Oryzias latipes: one gene and its partner. The protein of the gene in region 1 binds, or shares a complex with, the protein of each later gene. Links are inferred from orthologs where the notes say so. Each region holds a gene or a part of one and is shown on either strand. Other genes may lie near its edges. The genes, in order: med16 and med21.

Region 1 (4,362 bases):
CCAGGTGTTCTCACCTGACAACAAAGAAATTCAGCAGGACAGTGATGTTAATGACTTTTTTTTTGGTTTTAAGACAGATTTCCAGCCAGACCTATAACATTCTTTCATTCATTCATCATAGCAGTCTAAAAAATGTAATTCTATTAGTTTAAGAAGAGTCTCCAATGTACATGAATGTACATGCTCACCCAGTTGAATCAACGTTTTGGGACTCGTATGCCTGTGACCATGTGACGTATTTTTGACAGTTTGTTATCAAGGTAAATTTGGTATTCAAGACAAACAAGAGTCGTATTTATAACAAAGACAAATCGCATTCAAACGTAAAATTAAAATGTTGTCTTCATGTCTTTTTTTTGCAACTTTGTTTTTATGACTATGTTTCTTTTTGACAGATTTCTCACACCCTACATTCCTTTATTAAAAACAGAGAACTTATAACTAACAAAATGAGTATTAAAATCATCAAAACAGGAATATATGAGAGAAAATACATCAAATTCAAAAAATACAGCAAATTCACCGCAAAGCTGCAAATAAATGTGTAAATATGTGGGAATCAGTCTTTATTTTGTTCTGGACACCACTGGAAACACAAATTCATATGATGGTTTCTCAGATCGCCGCAGCATTTCCGCCTTCAGCGATCGCGGTGCGTCAGGAGGAGGACCGCAGAAGGCGGACATGCAGCTACTTAGTCCTGAGAAGCTGTGGAAACTCATCAGAAGTTCACAACCATCACAAAACCCTCTTCTCTGCCACTAACACAGTCTGCTCCTGGTGCGTGTGTGTGCGTCAGTCAGCAGCCGGACACACAGAGAAAGCAGTGACGTCATCGCCCCGCCTCCCCTCTGCTAATGCTTTTTCGAAATGAATATTGTGACAAGGTGCGCAGGGTGGATGTTAAAATGCAAATGCAATCCCCTCTTTGCATTTTCGTTTTAATTATGACACAGAATAAGCGGTTTTAAGTATAAAATGAAAAAGCATTTTGAAATATTGCTTTTTCTTTTTAATTTTGAGTCAAAAAATGCAGCTACATTTTGAAAATTAAAAAGCATTTCTGTTAATCCATTTTAATTGTCAAATTAGACATTTCTAAATGAATTATGCTACACATTTACCAGGGACCTTTTTGAAAATGAAATGTCAAATACCATTTTCTTTATCATTTTAATTAAGTGACAGAAAAAGCTGGGTTGAAGTATAAAATGAAAAAGCATTTTGAAGTATTGCTTTTTCTTTTGAGAGTGAGAATTGAAAATGTATTCAACTTAACTTTGTATTTTGCTCCTTGTTAATAAAGTTACAGAGGGAAAAAAAGGTTTACCTCGGGTTTAGCCAGACTAAAATAGGATCATAAAAGTATTTATTAGAAACGTTGTAGAAGACACAGTGTGGATTTTTAATTACTTCAATGTTTTTACTTAAGTTGAAAGCTTTGTAATAAATTGTCTGGGCCTAATTTTCTTATTTCGTACTCTAAACATATTTTTCAGACAGGCAGCTGTATAGGCACACATATACGGGGGCCTGACACGCGCCAGTCTCTGCTGCGGTCTTTGTTTCTTTCAAAGTGCCGTTCTTTCCAACTCGTATTTATGTTTTCTTTCTGAAGTCGTTCTTAAAACTTCTTTCAGTTTTGGCTGTTAACTTTTGAAAGCCAGTTTCAAATAGGTGAGTTCATCATAATAGACTAAGTCAGCGGGTTTTTCTTTTCATTTGCATCACGTTTTTTCTGGAGTTTTGCTGCTGGGTTTGTTTGTAAAGAAAGTCAAGAAAACCGAACTGTTGACGAGCAACACTTTTCTTTTGGAAATTCAAACTTGCATCGTTGTTCATAAAAACTTGGGGTAAACATCCAGAAGACTGATGTGTTTCGTGGTGCTGTCATGTGAGCAAATTCAAGTTTATGGTAGAATTTAAATAAATGACCGAATACATACAAGGTTTACTTACAGTGGGGCAAACAAAGTATTTAGTCAGCCACCAATTGTTTAGGTTCTCACAATTCAAAAAATGAGAGAGGCCTGTAATTTTAATCATAGGTAAACCTTAACTAATATGAGACAAAATGAGTTAAAAAAAACAGAAAATCACATTGTCTGACTTCTAAAGAATTTATTTGTAAATTATGATAGAAAATAACTTAATGATCAATGACAAAAGTTCATTTGCTGGAAATAACAGCTGTGACAGACTGGTGACCTGTCCAGGATGCCCCCAGCCTTCGTCCGCGAGTGGCTGGGATAGGCTCCAGCAGCCCCGCGACCCCGAGAGGGATAAAACAGATTAGAAGATGAATGAATGAATGAATGGCAATGACAGAACGATTGATCTGCGTAAAGGAAAGAAGGAATGGAGCAGTGTATGGTCAGATTTGGAGGGAAGCCTCCTTCCATCAGCATTAAAGATGAGACATGGTTGGATCTTTCAGCACGACAACGATCCTAAACACACGTTGCCCGGGTAACAAAGGAGTGGCTTCATAGGAAACATTTCAAAGTCCTAGTGTGGCCTAGACAGTCTCCAGATCTCAACCCCATAGAAAATCTTTGGAGGGGGTTGAAAGTTTGTGTGGCCCAGTGACAGCCCCAAAACATCACTGCTCTAGAGGAGATCTGCATGGAGGAATGGGCCAAAATACCAGCAACAGTTTTTGAAAACCTTGTGAAGACTTACAGAAAACGTCTGACTGCTGTCATTGTCAACAAAGGGTAAATAGCAACGTATTGACTTGAACTTTTTTATTGACCAAATACTTATTTTCCTCCATAATTTACGAATGAATTCTTTAAAAATTGGACAATGTGCTTTTCTGTATTTTTTTCAGATTTTGTTTCTCATAGTTGAGGTTTTGGCTCCATTGACCATTAAACTCAATGTAAATTCAAAACTAGTTTTGAATTTAGTTCCTGTAGTGAAGGAATGGAGATTGGAGATTCACAAATTTAATCTGCAAACGTTTTAAAAATATTTTAGTAAAACCTCATAAATGGTCTGAACTTTCTTCACTTAGATTTTTCAGCTTCATTATATTGAGTCAAATATAAACGGTCCGTCCTTCAATGTCTGTGTTTCTAACGTGAACTGATAACTGATGGCTATTAATGTCATGCTACTCACTACTTTTGTACTCTCCAAATGACACAAATTCCCATCTAACATTACCAAGTCACTTTGTTGATCCTCACTTTCAACTTTTAAGTTTACATTGTAAAATTCTCTAGTCATCATTCTGTGTCATATTTGTTTAATATTGTGACTTTATTCATGTGGCGTATGCTGCTGACCTCTTGGCCAGGTCACCCTTGAAGATGAGATCTGATCTCAGTGGGTTTCACTTGGTTAAAAAAAAAAAACCCACTGTGATGGAAATAGTGTTTTGGATGTTTTAAGAATCCTACCCTGACTGGGTATGTTTTCACAATAGATCAAAATAGGATTAAATGGAAACTTACTAAATATAATGCTTGACATGGTTAATTATTCTGTTCCTTAACAATGATCTAACCTCTAACCTGCTTTGAAATACAGATGTGTTCACTTAGTGACAGATGTGTTCCTCTGTCTCCCATTCAGGTCAGGTGTGGACGAGGCGTCTTTGTTCCCCTTTGGACATGGAACTGGCATATGTCTGTGACTGGGAGAAGCGACAGAAGAACGCTCACTGTCCATCCATACCAGTAGTGTGCTCGTGGTCCTGCAGGAACCTGGTGGCGTTTACCACAGACCTGAAAAGTGACGACAATGAGAAGGGTACACAGACACACACGCACACGCACACACGTCCAACTCTTGGTCCCGGCTACCTGAACCTCTTTTTCAGATGTCAGTCACATGATCCACATCATCGACACTGAGCACCCCTGGGATGTCTTTTCTATCAACTCTGGTCACACTGAGGTCATTTCCTGCCTGGAATGGGACCAGTCAGGTAGGCTTTACTTTAGTTGACTTTTTTCAGAGTATTAAACTGTTATTGTTTTGTCAAGTGCTTGTGTTCTTGTGTGTGTAGGATCACGGTTGCTCTCTGCCGATGGCGATGGTCAGATTAAGTGCTGGTCCATGACTGATCACTTGGTAAACAGCTGGGAGAGCATCCTGTCTAGCTCTTTGGATAGAGATCCCATAATTGCCCTTAGCTGGTTGCATAATGGAGTCAAACTGGCTCTGCATGTGGAGATGGTAAGGCACCTTCTACATAGTAGAAAAGCCCCAGAACCAGTAAAAAATTGACACGACATCTTCTGCTTTCAGTCTGGTTCCACAAACTTTGGAGAAAAGTTCTCCCGGGTGAAGTTCTCTCCTTCTCTCACCCTGTTTGGAGGAAAACCAATGGAAGGCTGGTTAGCAGTAACA
Region 2 (4,486 bases), on another chromosome or scaffold:
CCTTTTGGGGTCTCAGGGTTGCTGGAGCCTATCCCTGCAGCTGTTGGACGGAGGCACGGTTCATCCTGGGCAGGACGTCAGTCGGCTCATGAGGAAAATATTTAAAATAAAATAAAATAAAACATCAAAATCCAAGCAGAATCTTACCTGTTTCATGGCTTCTACCCTCTTGTTGAGAGATGTTGTCTGTTCGATTAACATCTCGGCTACGTTGTCATGGTTACGGAGCCTTTCTACCAAGGACTTAGCATCTGCCAGGACTTTCTCTAACGTACAGTTCATGTCTAAAGGGGAAAACATTAAAGTAAAATCGATGAGCAGGACATTTTTTAGAAAATATCAATCTGGTTTTAAAGAAATGTGAAAACTTAAGAAGAAAAAAAACATCGAGTTCAAGTCTGTAAGTAATATAACAAATTGGGCAATTTCCTTCATAAAACTGTTTTACTCTTTTGCTTTCTGTTTGTTCAGTTTTAGTGAGATAAAAACCTAATTACTGTGGTGAGTAATGAACATCTGGAAGTAAAGAGTAGTAGATCCCTGCATTTTTCATTTACTTACACATTAGCGTTAAGATACTCAGCGTCTTACAGATTTAAGATGGAAAGTTAAATGATAGAAAGTGATGTAAACAGTACAAAAAGCAGGGAAATTGGTTTTAAGCAGATTACTTTTTAGTTACAATACTTATCTTAAATCTTTGTTTAGAGTTTAAGGGAATACGTAGCTCCGTTTATGAAATGCACCCATCATGACTGGTTGAACATTCGCTGCTAAGCATCTAATTTTGCCAATGTCGTGTTTGGGTAATTCAGGTTTAAAAACACACTAAATATTTATTTTAGCAGAATTCGATGTATAACTTCTACATCAAGATTTCCTCCAGTAATAACGAGCAGGAGATGCTGCCCCATACCATCACACTGCCACCACCAAACAATGTAACTTTACCGGGTATGACCCTCCTGCTCACCCACTAAAGCAGGATGTTAACGAATGTGTCACAGTTTAAAAGGGGAAAAAAGAGGATGTCGAACTGCAGGAGATTTATGATCATGAAATATACTTTCTTATGACAAAAAAATTAAGCAAGCAGAAACAAACAGCTAATTATGTCTTTGCTTACGTAGTAGTAAAGTAGTTACAACTAACGAAGCTGCTCTCTAAATCCTGACAAATTTTCCAACAAAACATACAAACGTACCTCATAAACAGTGTACCAAAGCATGTAAAGGTGTCTTAATTTAACACTGAAGTGGTCTTACCTGAAGAGTTCAAAGTGCAACCAGAAAATAGATCTTCTTCCTGATATTTTATGTTGTAGCTCAGAATAGCAACATCATGCTTATGCTAACACGAATATCGGATTATACGTTAAACTTAAACTTTGTTTCTTTAAGACATAAAAAAATATACTAAAGTACAAAAAATGAATTTCGCAAAAGTCTCTATGGTATTCAAGTCTAAAATAACAGGTTTAAGGTTGTTGACGGGCTAACTTTCTTTAGCTATCTTGTCTTCCGAAATGACGTCAATTTCTGCGAGATTTTGTCAATGCTCTCGCGATAGTTGACGACGGACTTTTGTCAAATACAGGTAAATATGGCGGACCGGCTAACGCAACTACAAGATGCTGTCAACTCGGTAAAATAAAAATGTTAAATATTTGACAAAAATTGTGATATAGAAAGACTGTCACATATACATTTAAATATGAAATGTGCATTATATATAGGTTTTAATGGAAGTTGTTTCCTAATTTATTTACTGAGGGCGTAACATCACAGCAGCTAACAATGCTAATGCTAACTTAATAAATAGCATTACTTACTTGGTGTTTGCTGAAGCTGTTTGCCAAAATGCTGAAGTAGATTGGAATTAAAGTTGAAGACGCATGAAAGGAAGTGGAAATTATTTAAAAAGGTACCCAAACCAGGAAGTTACCCTATAAATTGTTCGTTTTGAGACTTATCCTAATCCTGCCGGTCAAAATATGCTGTCAAACAAAGTTAGAGTCCCATTTGTTCTTAGCATGCTAGCCATCCTTTAGTGTAGCTCTATCAGGAAACTCCTGAAAGCACTAAGCAGCTTGTTTGCTCATTTAGCTGGAATATTATAGGAATCATGATGTGTGGTGGTACAGGCCAACCGTTCTGTTATTGTTTAGGTCAGCCGGATGACATTTCTTACTAGCATATGGACTAAAGATATACATATGTATATAACATATGACAATATTGAACTTCAGGCACTCCAACCCCTACACTTAATCTTCATGACATTTCGAAATAAATGCCTGAAGGGCATAATACATATGATTACATGAAGAAGGAGCAAAAACCTAAAAATATTCTAACTTACAAGAAGTGTACTACTTCATAATTCTCTTTTCTCTATGAAAGATTTTAACCGTCTTAAATAAAACCAAAATCTTGCTGAAAATGCTTGAAATATTTGCATACAGCCAGATAAAGAATAATGGAAGACAATTATACCAAAAATGTTTTTAAAATGAAATGTTTAATATAATATCCATTCATTTCCAATGAGTAGAATTTCCTGCTGTGCTTTGTTATAATCCAAGCTTGATTGTTTTGACCTTTCTGTCTGTGTTTCAAACATAAAATGAATCTATTCGGGATGTGTGGTGCAGGTCGGCTTCAGCTCGGTCTGAACTGTGTGTTCTGCTTTTGCGTGGGCAGCTTGCAGATCAGTTTTGTAACGCCATCGGTGTTTTGCAACAATTTGCTCCCCCTGCGTCCTTCAGCAACATCCAGACCGCTATCAACAAGGACCAGCCGGCCAACCCCACTGAAGGTTAGTCTGACGCCGACTGTCTCTAAAGACCCACTGGGTCGCCGCCTGCTCTTCACCTTCAGTCCTCGGTTTACAGTTTCAATTCTGAATTTTCACTTTCGGAGTACAGCCTCATTTTACGTTGGGGTGGGCCTTCGATGCCGTTGGATATTGGGACATGATTGATATCAGGGGCTAGACGGGTCATTCTCTGAATTCGGTGCACATTGGTAATTGAAAATCTTACCTAAAAAATGTGTGTTTCTTAACATTACATCAGATTAAGGACTATTTAAACCTCTGAGAAAAGATGTTTTCCCACTTTAGACATGAAATCCCCCAAATTGTTAGAAAGTTTGTCACTGTGACAGTGTGTTTTGTTACGGAGTAGAATATTACGAGGTTGAAGTTGTCACGTGTCTACATTAGCTAGGATATGAAGCTACATATGGCATGAGGAAAACAAGAATTTAATACATATTTCAAAGCAATCGTTAGCTTTTTCCCAAACAATAGTAAATATCATTTATTAATTTAACAGAGTTGAAAGGTTGAGCTTGACAAAGTCAATCTGACAACAGAAACTATGAAATATGGGTAAGAAAGGAGGCTAATACTTACCTGTCTTCAGAGTATGAGCAGGAAAATATTCAGTGATGTCACTTCCTGGCTGCTGAAGAAGTTGGACTGAACTATTATTTTTTTTTAAAGGGGGATTGATAGGCTGTTACGGGTTGAACAAAACTGAGGGACAGGAATAAACGGTGAAATTTCATAAAGATTCATTTATTTTTGTCATACTTCTTTTATTTAAGTGAAACTAAATAGGCATATGTTTATGTTAGCAGAAAAAGCATGTAGTTAGTGGCTGTTTTTATCAGTTTTGCATTAGCTGAAAAGGTAACTTTGGCTTCGTTCATACTGCAGGCTGAAACGACCCAATTCTGATTTTCTTCCCCCATGCGACCTGTATCTGATCTTTTCATGACAGTCTGAACGACACAGATCCCATCTTTTCAAATGTGAACCAGGCCACTTGGGTATGTGGTCCTGAATCCAATACGTATCCGATCTTTTCAAATGCGACCTCCGTCTGAACGGCCAGGCCACATGAATCCGACCCGTACCTCATTGATACGTTCTCAAACGTCATAATTCTGCGTTGAAGTAGGCGGAACCAGAAGATAAACATCAACCATGGCGGACGATGCTGCTGAGACCAGTCAGTGGAAGGGAAGCGAGGTCACCGATTGGATTCATATTTGGGGTGACAGCTCCATTCAGGCCAAACTCCAGGGCTCTTATCGCAACCGGGCAGTTTTTGAAAATATTTCCAGCAAAATGGCCGAGCGTGGTGTTGAACCTTTCCCACCTGACTTTTTTTTCTTTCCGACTGTGGTCGGAAGCAGGGGGGGGGGATCTTCTCCAGGGCTGAAGGAAGATCCTCCTCCGGAATTAACTTCCCCGTTCGGACCCTCAGATTCTCCAGAGCGGGTTAATAAAGAGTCAATTATAGCATTTATTCTGGGGGAAGCCTTCTTTTATTATCGTTCTCCTTCCTCTGTAACACACAACATGAATGCACGCACCCGACACACTTCCGCTGCCCCCCCCCCCCCCATCCCCCCCCCCACACACACACACTCCCTCCGGCGCTCTACGCGCTCTCTCCTCTCTCTTATTACACACA

Evidence for each region.
Region 2: med16 (region 1) and med21 share a complex: the UniProt entries of both Homo sapiens proteins name them as parts of the mediator complex. The link is inferred for Oryzias latipes from reciprocal best matches to the Homo sapiens genes MED16 and MED21.

What each region holds. Positions count from the first base shown.
Region 1 is NC_019862.2:1,605,248-1,609,609, forward strand, and holds the start of med16 (mediator of RNA polymerase II transcription subunit 16), read left to right. Parts: upstream 1-1,519; 5' UTR 1,520-1,677; intron 1,678-3,582; 5' UTR 3,583-3,620; coding exon 3,621-3,759; intron 3,760-3,829; coding exon 3,830-3,937; intron 3,938-4,018; coding exon 4,019-4,188; intron 4,189-4,260; coding exon 4,261-4,362. UniProt on the Homo sapiens protein: Component of the Mediator complex, a coactivator involved in the regulated transcription of nearly all RNA polymerase II-dependent genes.
Region 2 is NC_019881.2:3,908,844-3,913,329, reverse strand, and holds the start of med21 (mediator of RNA polymerase II transcription subunit 21), read left to right. Parts: upstream 1-1,579; 5' UTR 1,580-1,602; coding exon 1,603-1,644; intron 1,645-2,702; coding exon 2,703-2,817; intron 2,818-4,486. Other genes in the region: fgfr1op2 (FGFR1 oncogene partner 2), read right to left, coding at 148-282. UniProt on the Homo sapiens protein: Component of the Mediator complex, a coactivator involved in the regulated transcription of nearly all RNA polymerase II-dependent genes.